Neurospora crassa OR74A: one gene and its partner. The protein of the gene in region 2 interacts with the protein of the main gene of each other region in a biochemical or structural test. Links are inferred from orthologs where the notes say so. Each region holds a gene or a part of one and is shown on either strand. Other genes may lie near its edges.

Region 1 (5,028 bases), on a different chromosome or scaffold from region 2:
CATCTGCTCCTTGGTTGCCTGCTCGACAAGCGCAAAGGTTTCGCTGGCCTTCTCCAAGTCGTCGCGCAAGTCGATCATCAGATCTTCCATGAGGCGCAACTCGTCGCGACCTTGGCAGACCTCCTCGAGCTCCTTTTCCCAGATCTTGGTCCAGATGGGTTTCTCCTTCTTCATGAACTCCTCCATCTTCTTGAGCTCTTTGGAGAGCGTGGTGATGTCCTTGGTGACGGACTCGAGCTGGTTAGGGCGTGGGCGGACGCCGCGGTGGACAACGTCCTTGCGAAGGTCCTCAATGAGATCTTGCAGGTCGTCTACCTGGTTGACAAGCCGGTCACTATCGGCGTTAAGCAGTTTCCGACCCTTGGTGACGTAAGCGCGACCAGAGTCGCCTTCCCCATCGGGAACGGACAACTTGGCGGCGGCGGTCTTGACATTGTTGGCCTTGTTGCGAAGAGTAGTCATGGACCCTTGGACTTCGGACTGGAAGTTGGAGTAGGTCTGGCGAAGAACGGCGAGGTCGCGACGAAGGGATTGGATCTCGGTGAGCTGGCTTGGGCTGAGCTTCTTGGATGAGGAACCGGCAAGGGCAGCAGCACCAGCGACAGAGGAAGACGAAGAGCGTGGCGAAGCCGTCGAGTCCATACCACTTGGTGCGATGATAGTGGGAGGCGGCGTGGCGGCAATGCGAGCGAGATCCTTGGCGGTCTCCTGTTGGCGCTCCGACACACGTTGAATGGCGGCGTTTTGATCGTCGACATTTTGTTTAACCTGCTGGATGATGGTCTTGATGGACCCGATACTCTTGTCAATATGCTTCTTGACTTCATCCAAAACCTCGACATTCAACACAAGCACTGTACGGTCCTTAATATCGGACAGATCCTCAAGCTCATGGCGGACACCGGAGACGGGATCTTGAATGTAAATTTCCGGTAGATCAGCTCCATTCTGCTGCGTGTTCCACGAGAACTTCTCAATAAAGGCCAGCTGAAGACGAGCCATAGACAGATGCTCGTAGCCCTCAGGGAGCACGAACTTCTTGACCTTGGACTTGTACTGCAGGAAGAGGGTCAGTTCCTTGGTTGCGGGGGGTGAATTCTCGAGCATAAACGAGCTGGGCGGTTGTTTATCGGGAGTCGAGGCGCGAATGGACGGCTTGTGTTGATGCTGAGGAGCGGCAGGCGCAGGAGCAGGCCTCGTAGCAGCGGGCTTAGACGAGTCTACCTCATCCACCATCGGGATAGGATCTGCGAGCGGGCCATTAAGGGTAGCGCTTGGAGTAGGATACTTGTCATCTGGCGCCTGGACATTCAAGTTGTCGGCCTTGCTAAATGTATAAGAATCGGCCGTTTCAGGCTCTTCAGGAACCCGGCTGGGAACTCGAACGGGAGAGGAATCGAGGCCAATGGTACGTTGGGACTGGTTCGAAACATTGCGGCTGTGGCGGGGGGTTTCCCTTACGTGCATCGCCCGCAGCGACTCTCTTCTAGCCTCGCGGTTGCCCCTATCGGGTATCGGCGTTGTCTGGGGTGGGACCATAGCGCCGAGATACTTGGAAATCTGGTATGCCTCATATCTGCGGGAAGCTCGTCTTTCCAGATTACCTCCTCTTTGGAGAGCCGCCAAGGCGCTCTGTCCCGATCCCTTGGGCGGCGGCGGCGGCGGAGGGAAGTTGTCCACGTTGATTTCGGGTGGTGCCGGTGGGCCGGTTGGAATTGTCTCTTCACCTGGGTAAGGCGCCATAACGGGTATGTTTTGCATCGTGTTGCTCGACAGGCTGGACTGGTCAGAGGTGACAGAGCCGCGAGATTGGTCCCGTTGCGAGGGAAGACGTCTGGTGGGTGATGCCGTTGTAGGACCAGAGTTCCGAGAATCATCCCTGAAAGAGTCCGGTCGGTAGCCATTGCTCTCCAGCCCTTCGTTCAGCATGTTGGTGAGCCCAGAATTAACACTAGCCATGGTACTAGTGCTCGTAGTTCTGGTGGGCACGCCACTGCTACTGGGCCCAGGTCCGCGACTTGGACCATAGCCTCCATCGTCTCCCGCGATACTCGGCTCTCTATCCCGCTGCTGGCGATGCCTTAGCTTTTGCTGTTTTCTTTTTAAACCATGCAGCAGATTTATGATAATATCACGTATCTTTGGCAGGTATTTCTCGAGACTTTCAGCGCTGGCTTCTTGACTTAGAGTGGCCTCCAGGATGGTGCGCAGCATCTCGGGTACGTTGCCCAAGTCGTCAATATCGACATTGATGGCAGTAAAGGCTCGGCAGGCCATATTAAACTCGTAGCCCAGCCGTACGTAGACGTCGGAGACCTGGGTATCGGTTGCGTTTCCACGGGACCATTGTGTCAGGGTTTCGAGCAGTTGCTTGGTGGCCACAAGTAGATGTGTGACGCTCCTTTCGATTTGCGATAGTGGGACGGACGACGAGCCGCCAGATGACTGTTGTCAGATGCCCTGGTTAGCAGCGAACTGGCAAACGGCAGAGGAGGATTGGAACAGAGGAGAGGAGAGGCATCATGACGCGCGCATGTAGATGGAAAGACTCGAGAGAAAGGGGGACTGCAAAACAGGCCGATGGTAACAACAGTAAAGGAAGCCAAGGCGGGAAGATGATTACTCACATTGTTTCGCCTTGTGCTCCCACCGCCGGCGGGGCCGCCGCCGGGACCTTGAACTGAGCGACTTGAGCCAGCTGAAGACCTCGACATGCCAGCTTGGGGACCCATCTGTCCTCCCATCCCAACGGCGGGCGATATTGAGCGGGCCGGCATGTTGGAGGGCGGGCCACCACCACCACCACCACCACCACCGGGTTCGGTGCCCGGGGCGGGGGGGCGTCGCTGCATGGGGCGGCCGGGACCCGGGACATTCATCATGTGCTGCGCTGCCTTGCTGTCTGATGGATGTGATAGAGCTTGTGATGTTCAGGGCAAATGGTCGTGTCGCAAAAAGGAGATCACGTCAGGCGGGATGGCTTGTGTTGTCGGGTCGGCACCTCTAGCAGATGTTGGGCAGAGATGGGAGATTCGACGGCGCGTAGATGGCGGGAGCTACGTCTAGACCGGGCCGGGGGCGTTTGGCGACAGGGTCTTGGTCGCTTCAAATAAAGAGATAGTGAATCGGTTTGACGGGATGACAAGAGCCCTTCAAGATGCTGGCGACGACTGATGTTGCTGGCCGTCTCAATCAGGGCGGCGCATCAGGATATGGTGGCGGACAGTAGTAGGTGTCTTGTCTAGAAACAAGCTTTTGAGAAATGCGCGAGGTTGTGTTTGTTGATGATGGACAAATACTATGGAACTGCGTTGAGGACGGATGTCCCGTCGTTGCTGACAAGTCGGGGACTAGGTATAATTGCAGTGGATTGGAACTTGTATCGCCAAATGGAAGCCAAAGTGGAGGCGCAGGCCATGGCAACGGCTCCAGTTGGGCTGCCAGCCGCTGTGGTGGGCTCCTGACCTCGCTTCCCTTCAGTTGTTTTGCATTTCGCCATCACTGTTGGTTCAAGCAGATTGTACTAATACGTTAGCTTGTAATTTCCAGGCTGTTACTGTTAGTGATGGCTGGGCGCGGTAACAGCACATGATACCCGCTTAGCTCAGAGGAGCGCCTGAAGGTGAGCACATGGCAAGAAGAGGGCAGGGGATCCTGAGGGGTAGCCGTGCCCTTCCCTGGACAGGGGTAAGAGCGGCCGATAACAGGGGGTGCGCTACAAAATATCCATTCTCATTGTTGGTAAACACTGTCCAAGCCAGCCATGGCTGTGATTAACCTGTAGCCCATGTGATCGGGCCGTCTCACGCGACTCAACACGACCCTGGGGCTCTTGTCCCCCACAGCCCTGCTGAACAAACAACTCCCCGTGTTTCAATGTTTCATCCAAACCGCCAAAGACAAGGATCATCACCATCACCGCCAGATCTCCGCATCTTGGACCAAGGATGTTGACAATAGCCGTCATTCTGCTACACCACCATCTCGTCAAATGCCTTTTATTTGTGGCACATCATTGACGTCGCACCTCATCCATTGCCATCCATGTAAAACACAGTACAAGCAGCAAAGTCAGGGAACGTTGAGAGGCCACACCGACAAACACACCATGAACATATAGAAGGCGGCAACCTACCTACTGTCCACCACCTCAGTATTGAGTCCGGTCCTCTGTTCCTTCCCCGGATGTCCTCATTACCAAGATCTCACCGAATCCTCTTGAAGTTGGTGGTCCTGGGGGGAAGGGAAGGCGCAAGGCACCGACCGGGCAGAGAAATTGGTCCAAATCCAGACAGCCTCGAAATTGAAAGTGTCCAAGTGTCCTTCAGCTTGAGTTTGGGCTTACGTTTTCTTCCCTGCAGTGTCCGTAACAACAACACAGATGAACTCAGTTCCGTCTCCAACTCGTATCTTGGAGGTTCAATGCCATCCGACTTCACGCGGCCTTCGACTACCGATATTCATGAACCCTACACGGGCGCGGAGCTGGAGGTGAACTCGTCAGCGCAGTCCATGTCAAGCTTCCAGTCGGCAACAACAAAACAAGGCACAAGAGGATCGCCGACATCAATTGCTGAAGGATTTCAACTGGAGTGTCGCATCTCGAACGTTGTGTACAACCCTGTATTGAACAACACGGTCTGCTGGACATACCGTCGTCTATCGGCCAGGTTGCCTCCCATCCTTCCACCATGAGCAAACGCAGATTATACCAGGCAAATTTGCAAGCTTTGACACCCATGTTATTCAAACCTCAGCCATTCGAAAAGGAACCATCATCCCTTACTACCTGGGCACATCAAAGGGCTCCATGATGCGTCGAATCTCCCTCGCCATAGTCCGCCGAGTCTCCCGCGGTTTCCGAGGTCTGTGTGGCACCCGCACAAGAATATTGCCCTCCTGTCTCTCTTCTATCTGGAACATTTCGAGTCGGGCATCTCTCCCGTGCTCATCCGATTTTCCAGCAGACGAGCTGCTTCTGTCGAGGCCATGTCAGTCATCATCAGCGAGACTTGTCATGAAGGATAT
Region 2 (5,058 bases):
GACCAAGATGAGGGTAGCAACGGCGTATTCCATGAGCAGATTCTCCATGCCAATGCCACCACTTCGTACCTCCTCACTAGCACCGACCAAACTGCCCATCTTCCCGCGGCCGTCGACGGTGACCTCAACAAGACGCATCCAAGCATCGAAGCGCCCGTTTTCGCCTTGCTGGGCCTTAACGACGTCCATGGCCTCGATGACCTTGACATGGCCCTTGCCTTCGCCCCAATGGCAGAGGAATGTCAGGACTTCGCTGACAAGCTTCCGGGTGGTGAGCCGAGGTGATATAAGGGAGGTGGCCAGAGCCACAATAACCTGTTGGTGAGCTAGCGCATCGTCTGCGCCAAACTTGTTGTTCATAAGAGCCTTCAAACATTTGACAATGTCATATTCTCGGTCCAAATTCTTATCCAATCTTCCATTATCCGGCTGAGCAGGTCCATAGGCAGTCTTTCGGTTCATCTTTAGCAGGACATTGGTCAAGGCGATCTGTCCCTGACAGTCGATGAAGCGCTTGACCCAGCCGATCTGCTGTGTCCGAAGGTTGACTTCGAGTCCTCCGAGCCCTTTGCTGTCCAGAGCGTTTTCCATGACCTTGCGCACATACCACTCGGGGCTGCCTTCGTCATCGGAGGATTGGGTAATATCGACATTGCTGTATTGGCCAATCTTGGCCGTCTGTCTGCGCTTCTGTTCGCCCTGCCACTCGGTGAGTCGATCCTGGTAAATCAAGGTCCATTTCTTCGCGGCGGGGTATGCGATCATCTGGCGCTTGGCCTGGTCCGGGAGGTTGTGCCATCCTCGCTTTTGCATCAGGTTTATGAACATCTGTTCAATCACATTGTCATCGTCTGGCTTGGGAAAGTTGAATCCTTCGGAGCCCTGGTGGCCGGCAGCGACCTTGGTTAACCGCTGGGTATCTCTGTCCTTATGGGCATGGGGAGAAAGGTAGGATGACTGAGACGAAGTACTAGGGAGTCCTATCCTGGATGAGCGATGGCTGGTTCCTGGGGCTTCTTGGTAGTGTCCGTCCCTACCTGAGTAGATGCTGGCATTGTCGCCCGAACTGCGGGTTGTCATGTACGAGTGGCCTCTGGAATTGTACCCGGGCAAACTGCTCTCTCTCGGTGGTCCCCATTGCTGAAACTGGGCCTGGCGGCCCGTGGAGGCCATGGTGATGTTAGCAGTAGCGAGAGTTGAGCGCGAACTTGATGCGCTGGGTGACTGCCCATTATAGGGGGAGCTTGGGCTTTGGTCGATGGTGGGATACTGGTGGAAGTCACCAGTGCCTTTGTTGAGGTGGTGCGGTACTAGCTCTCGCCTTAGGGGCATTTGGTCGGGCCTGGGAAGGTGGTCGAGGGCGACGGGGGAGCGATTGTCGGGGGAAACAGGGTCATAGGGGATCGTCGTGACGACCCCTGCCGTCATGTTGAGGCCAGATTCGGGCGTGTCGGGACGGTCCAGCGATATTACAGACGAGTCCCGGTAATGGCGCGAACTGCGTGCGGTATGGGTGCTGGCGGCGTCGTTGTCGGCGGCAAGGTATCGGCCACCCTCATCGCTTGCGTTCCGTTTGTCGGCCTTGTTCTTGCCAGTGGCTCTCGAGAAGAAGGAGGAGGCCTTGCCGCTCGAGGAGGTAGCCCTCCCATTCTTGTCGTGGGAGGACATGGCGCGGGACGGGATGTGTGAAGCGGCCGCTTCGCTACCGGCAGGGCAGTACACCAGAGTACAGTCCCAGCAGCGCAAGCTGCCTACGTGTTGTTCGGGGGTGGTTCCTCAGCAATAGGCGAGCGGGTATCGTGGGTATCTGGATCGCTGTAGAGGGGCGTCGAGGGGTGTCGAGGGGCCGGGCCGGGTCGGGTCTCGTCTCGAGGCGCGGAGTGGGTAGTTGTATAGGCAATCAATGCGCGGGTGGGTCAATTGGTAAATGAGTGCGTTGAAATGGATACGGAGCAAATGCCGTCAATGGACTCGGTGTCTGAGGCCCTGGGTGGATCGCATCATGTTCTTTGCGGGCAATAACGGTTGGTGAGCATGGCCTTCCTGCTGCATGAACCATTGGTGTTTTTAGCATGAGGTCAAGTTGAGGAGTTCGGAGGGTAGCCGTGCCCGGGCAAGCTTTTGCGCAGAGGCGGGCCTCGAGATAGGCTAGCTGCTAGCACTGCTAGCTGGTGGGATGAGCGCACTCGGGCGAGATGTGTATGGATGTGTGCTGACCCAAACTAGACTGCATCGAGACCGTGTTGGCAATACAATCCAGATCTTCGAAGGGAATGGAACTCAAGTGAAAGTCAAAGGGGTCAAGTCGCAAATGTACGAGCGGGCGCAAATATCCGTACCCGCGTCTGTCCGTGTAGCGTAGCCGGCGAAACCTGGAAATACCTAGGTAGTAGTGTAGGATGTCGTCGACTTCGACTTCTGGATCTCGTGTTGGAAGTATAGATAGAGTACTGTAGTTACCTACCTAGTGTGTAGTGTAGAGGCAGTATACTGGCGACCTGGCTGACGGCAAGGAGGGGTGATGAGTAGGTAGGTATGCGACGCTCAGCTCGCTCACTACCAAAAGTGCCAGAGTACTTAGACAGCTACGCCGAGGCTGAACTAGGAGAAGAACAAAATGCCGTTCGTTGGTCAAACCGTCAGGGCTCGTCAGGGACGGACTCTCCCGTTCGAGGGGTCTGGTGGATTTGGCCCAGGTCGTTGGCGGTACCTAACTTTGGGGTGGAAGCGCGCGCGCGCGTGGGGCACTGGAGGGCCTGTCTTGGACGGGCTTAGTTACCCACTCGGACGAAATTGAAGGTTGATTTGAGATCGGGCGGCAAATGAATGGTGGTCTTCTATGAGCGATGATTGGGAAAGAAAAGGAGCAATGGCAACGACGACGGGTGGAGCGTTGTCCGGTGGTGGCTGGCTCACCCGCGAATTATCAGCTATAGAGACAAGCTCGGGAAAAGGAGAGGCAGAGGCAGATGACCATTCAGAAGTTGCAGCGAGACTGGACTGAGGTGAAGTGGTTGAATGAGCCGAATGAGAGATCACTTGAGAGAGAGTGAGGTTGGGGTTCCTTGCCGTGTGAACGCGAACCTAACAACGCTCGGCAATCGCAGGGGCAACTCCAGCATGGCGCGGGAGGGTGCACCGTGCACTCTCTTAACAGCTGCACCTTCTGGTGGGAGACCTCAACATCACGGCAAAGGGGGTCTCGATGCGCTGAAAGCGGCTTAGCTGGGCACATCATCACCCCTGATGTCTTGAATCACAGGCGGGGAATTTGTTAGTGGTCAAGACGCAGGGACTGTCCGGGTTTCTTCCGTTCTTTCTTTTTCCCATCCACCATCCGAAACATCCATCATCTGAACCTAACCGATGGTTCATATAAGTGATGGAACCACAAATCGGCACAGAATAGGATGAAAGAAACTCAATGATAGAAACTTGTCAACTGAGCACTGAAAAGGCCGCTGGTCAACCTGAAACAATACGCATAATGGTGATAAAGGTCATCTTCGTATGCATTGGTGGCACATTCAGCGGCGCCATATATGTCCACATTACTATGTACTGCGTACATCCATACAATAGCATAAGTAGGCATAGCGGCTGGAACTATGACTTGGCTTAATCCTCCACCTTCCCAAACTGCCCCTGGTGGGGGCAGATTGATATGATGGAATCACATCGAACTGGTATTAAGATTGGCTCATGATCCCTTGCCCAATCATCACCGTTCTATCCGAGTATCATCATCCCTGCGTCTCACTATCCCAACCAAAAGAGGTCAAGATGATCTGAAGACAAAAGAATAAAAGTCCTCAAGCTAGAGGTATGAGCGAGAAACACACTTGTGGAGGTCCAAAACTGTATAGGAACAGATGTTGTTGGTTGGAAAGACATCCTCTGAGATCCCTACATGAGGCCGTCGATACCCCTGGATCATCAGGGCAGTTTGTTAGGTTTCTGCATCTCATCAACCTTGAGGGTGTCGTTCCGTTGCTATTTTGGGCCCGGGCCTCGCTCAGTCGGGCCATGCCACAGAGACCCGATACATGGAAGGGCCGGGTGAGCCCAGTCCAGGAACTCTACAGTGCACTGTTCCACAACGTCTGGGCTGTCAAGCCCAGGTGGCTACAGTATGTACTGCGCGCGCAGTTAGCGCAGGTACACCTTTCCGCACGCGATTACGTGCCGCATTTGTATATGTTACATAGGTTTGTCGCAAGCGGAACCTCCGTAGGCAACAGGGGCACTTTACGCCGCGGCCACCACTTTTGGCTTGTTCAGCCTCATAGCCTTTTATCACAACCTCAAGGCCTCTTCAGCCGAGACTATCACATTCTGTAACTGGACTCGTTGAAGTCCTTGCACGGCAGCGGGCCAGGTTGTCGTCATCATGGGCGCCGACTTTTCCGCGATCAAGGTGAGCAAGACAAAGACACAGACATTCAAGAGGAGATCAGTCACGATTCTATGCTGTTCGTTTCCCAGTCACTAACCTCTTCGAACACCTATAGACATTAATTGTCCCTGCGATCATAGCCCTGATTCTCTACCTCGTATTAACCTTCGCCGTCATTCCCATCTGGCAACGATACCGAAACCGCTACAGCCAATATCTTCCGCTCGAGACGATAACCGATGGAGCATCATCCCTGCGTGCACGCCTCACCGATCGCATTACTACATGGTTTATAACTTCGGCGTGGAGGGCCAGACTGCAAGATCGCATCGATGTGGCTGATAACCGCCCAAGTACTGACTTTGATTCGGATGACGGGGAGGAGCTGAACGAAGTGGATGAAGCTCTCAGGAGGGCTCTGGAGCGCCGTGAACAGCCTACAATTGACGATAGCAATAGGAGGCTAAGTAGAGAGTCAGTAACCGTATCTTTCCCCCCTTCAAGCTTCCTGAGGCTAAAAATGTGTACAGTCTGGAACAGGGCTTTCGAGACGATAGCGACGAGGAGATAGATGATCGCACGGGGAGGTAACATGTTAGCTTGGCTAAGGGTCTTTACGGCAATGAGCACAATTTCGAGTCCAAAGACAACCGACAAAGAAG

What was found. The genes of interacting proteins can lie anywhere in the genome.
Region 1: the proteins of bni1 (region 2) and bud6 form a complex in vitro, tested with the Saccharomyces cerevisiae proteins (5 studies listed by BioGRID). The link is inferred for Neurospora crassa OR74A from reciprocal best matches to the Saccharomyces cerevisiae genes BNI1 and BUD6.

Annotation. Positions count from the first base shown.
Region 1 is NC_026502.1:3,557,102-3,562,129, forward strand, and holds the start of bud6 (actin-interacting protein), read right to left. Parts: upstream 3,350-5,028; 5' UTR 2,883-3,349; coding exon 2,628-2,882; intron 2,446-2,627; coding exon 1-2,445.
Region 2 is NC_026505.1:4,766,905-4,771,962, reverse strand, and holds the start of bni1 (cytokinesis protein sepA), read right to left. Parts: upstream 3,012-5,058; 5' UTR 2,465-3,011; intron 2,047-2,464; 5' UTR 1,669-2,046; coding exon 1-1,668. Other genes in the region: NCU01432 (hypothetical protein), read left to right, coding at 4,391-4,417, 4,512-4,870, 4,927-4,987. UniProt on the Saccharomyces cerevisiae protein: Required for the assembly of F-actin structures, such as actin cables and stress fibers. Nucleates actin filaments. Binds to the barbed end of the actin filament and acts as a leaky capper, slowing both polymerization and depolymerization.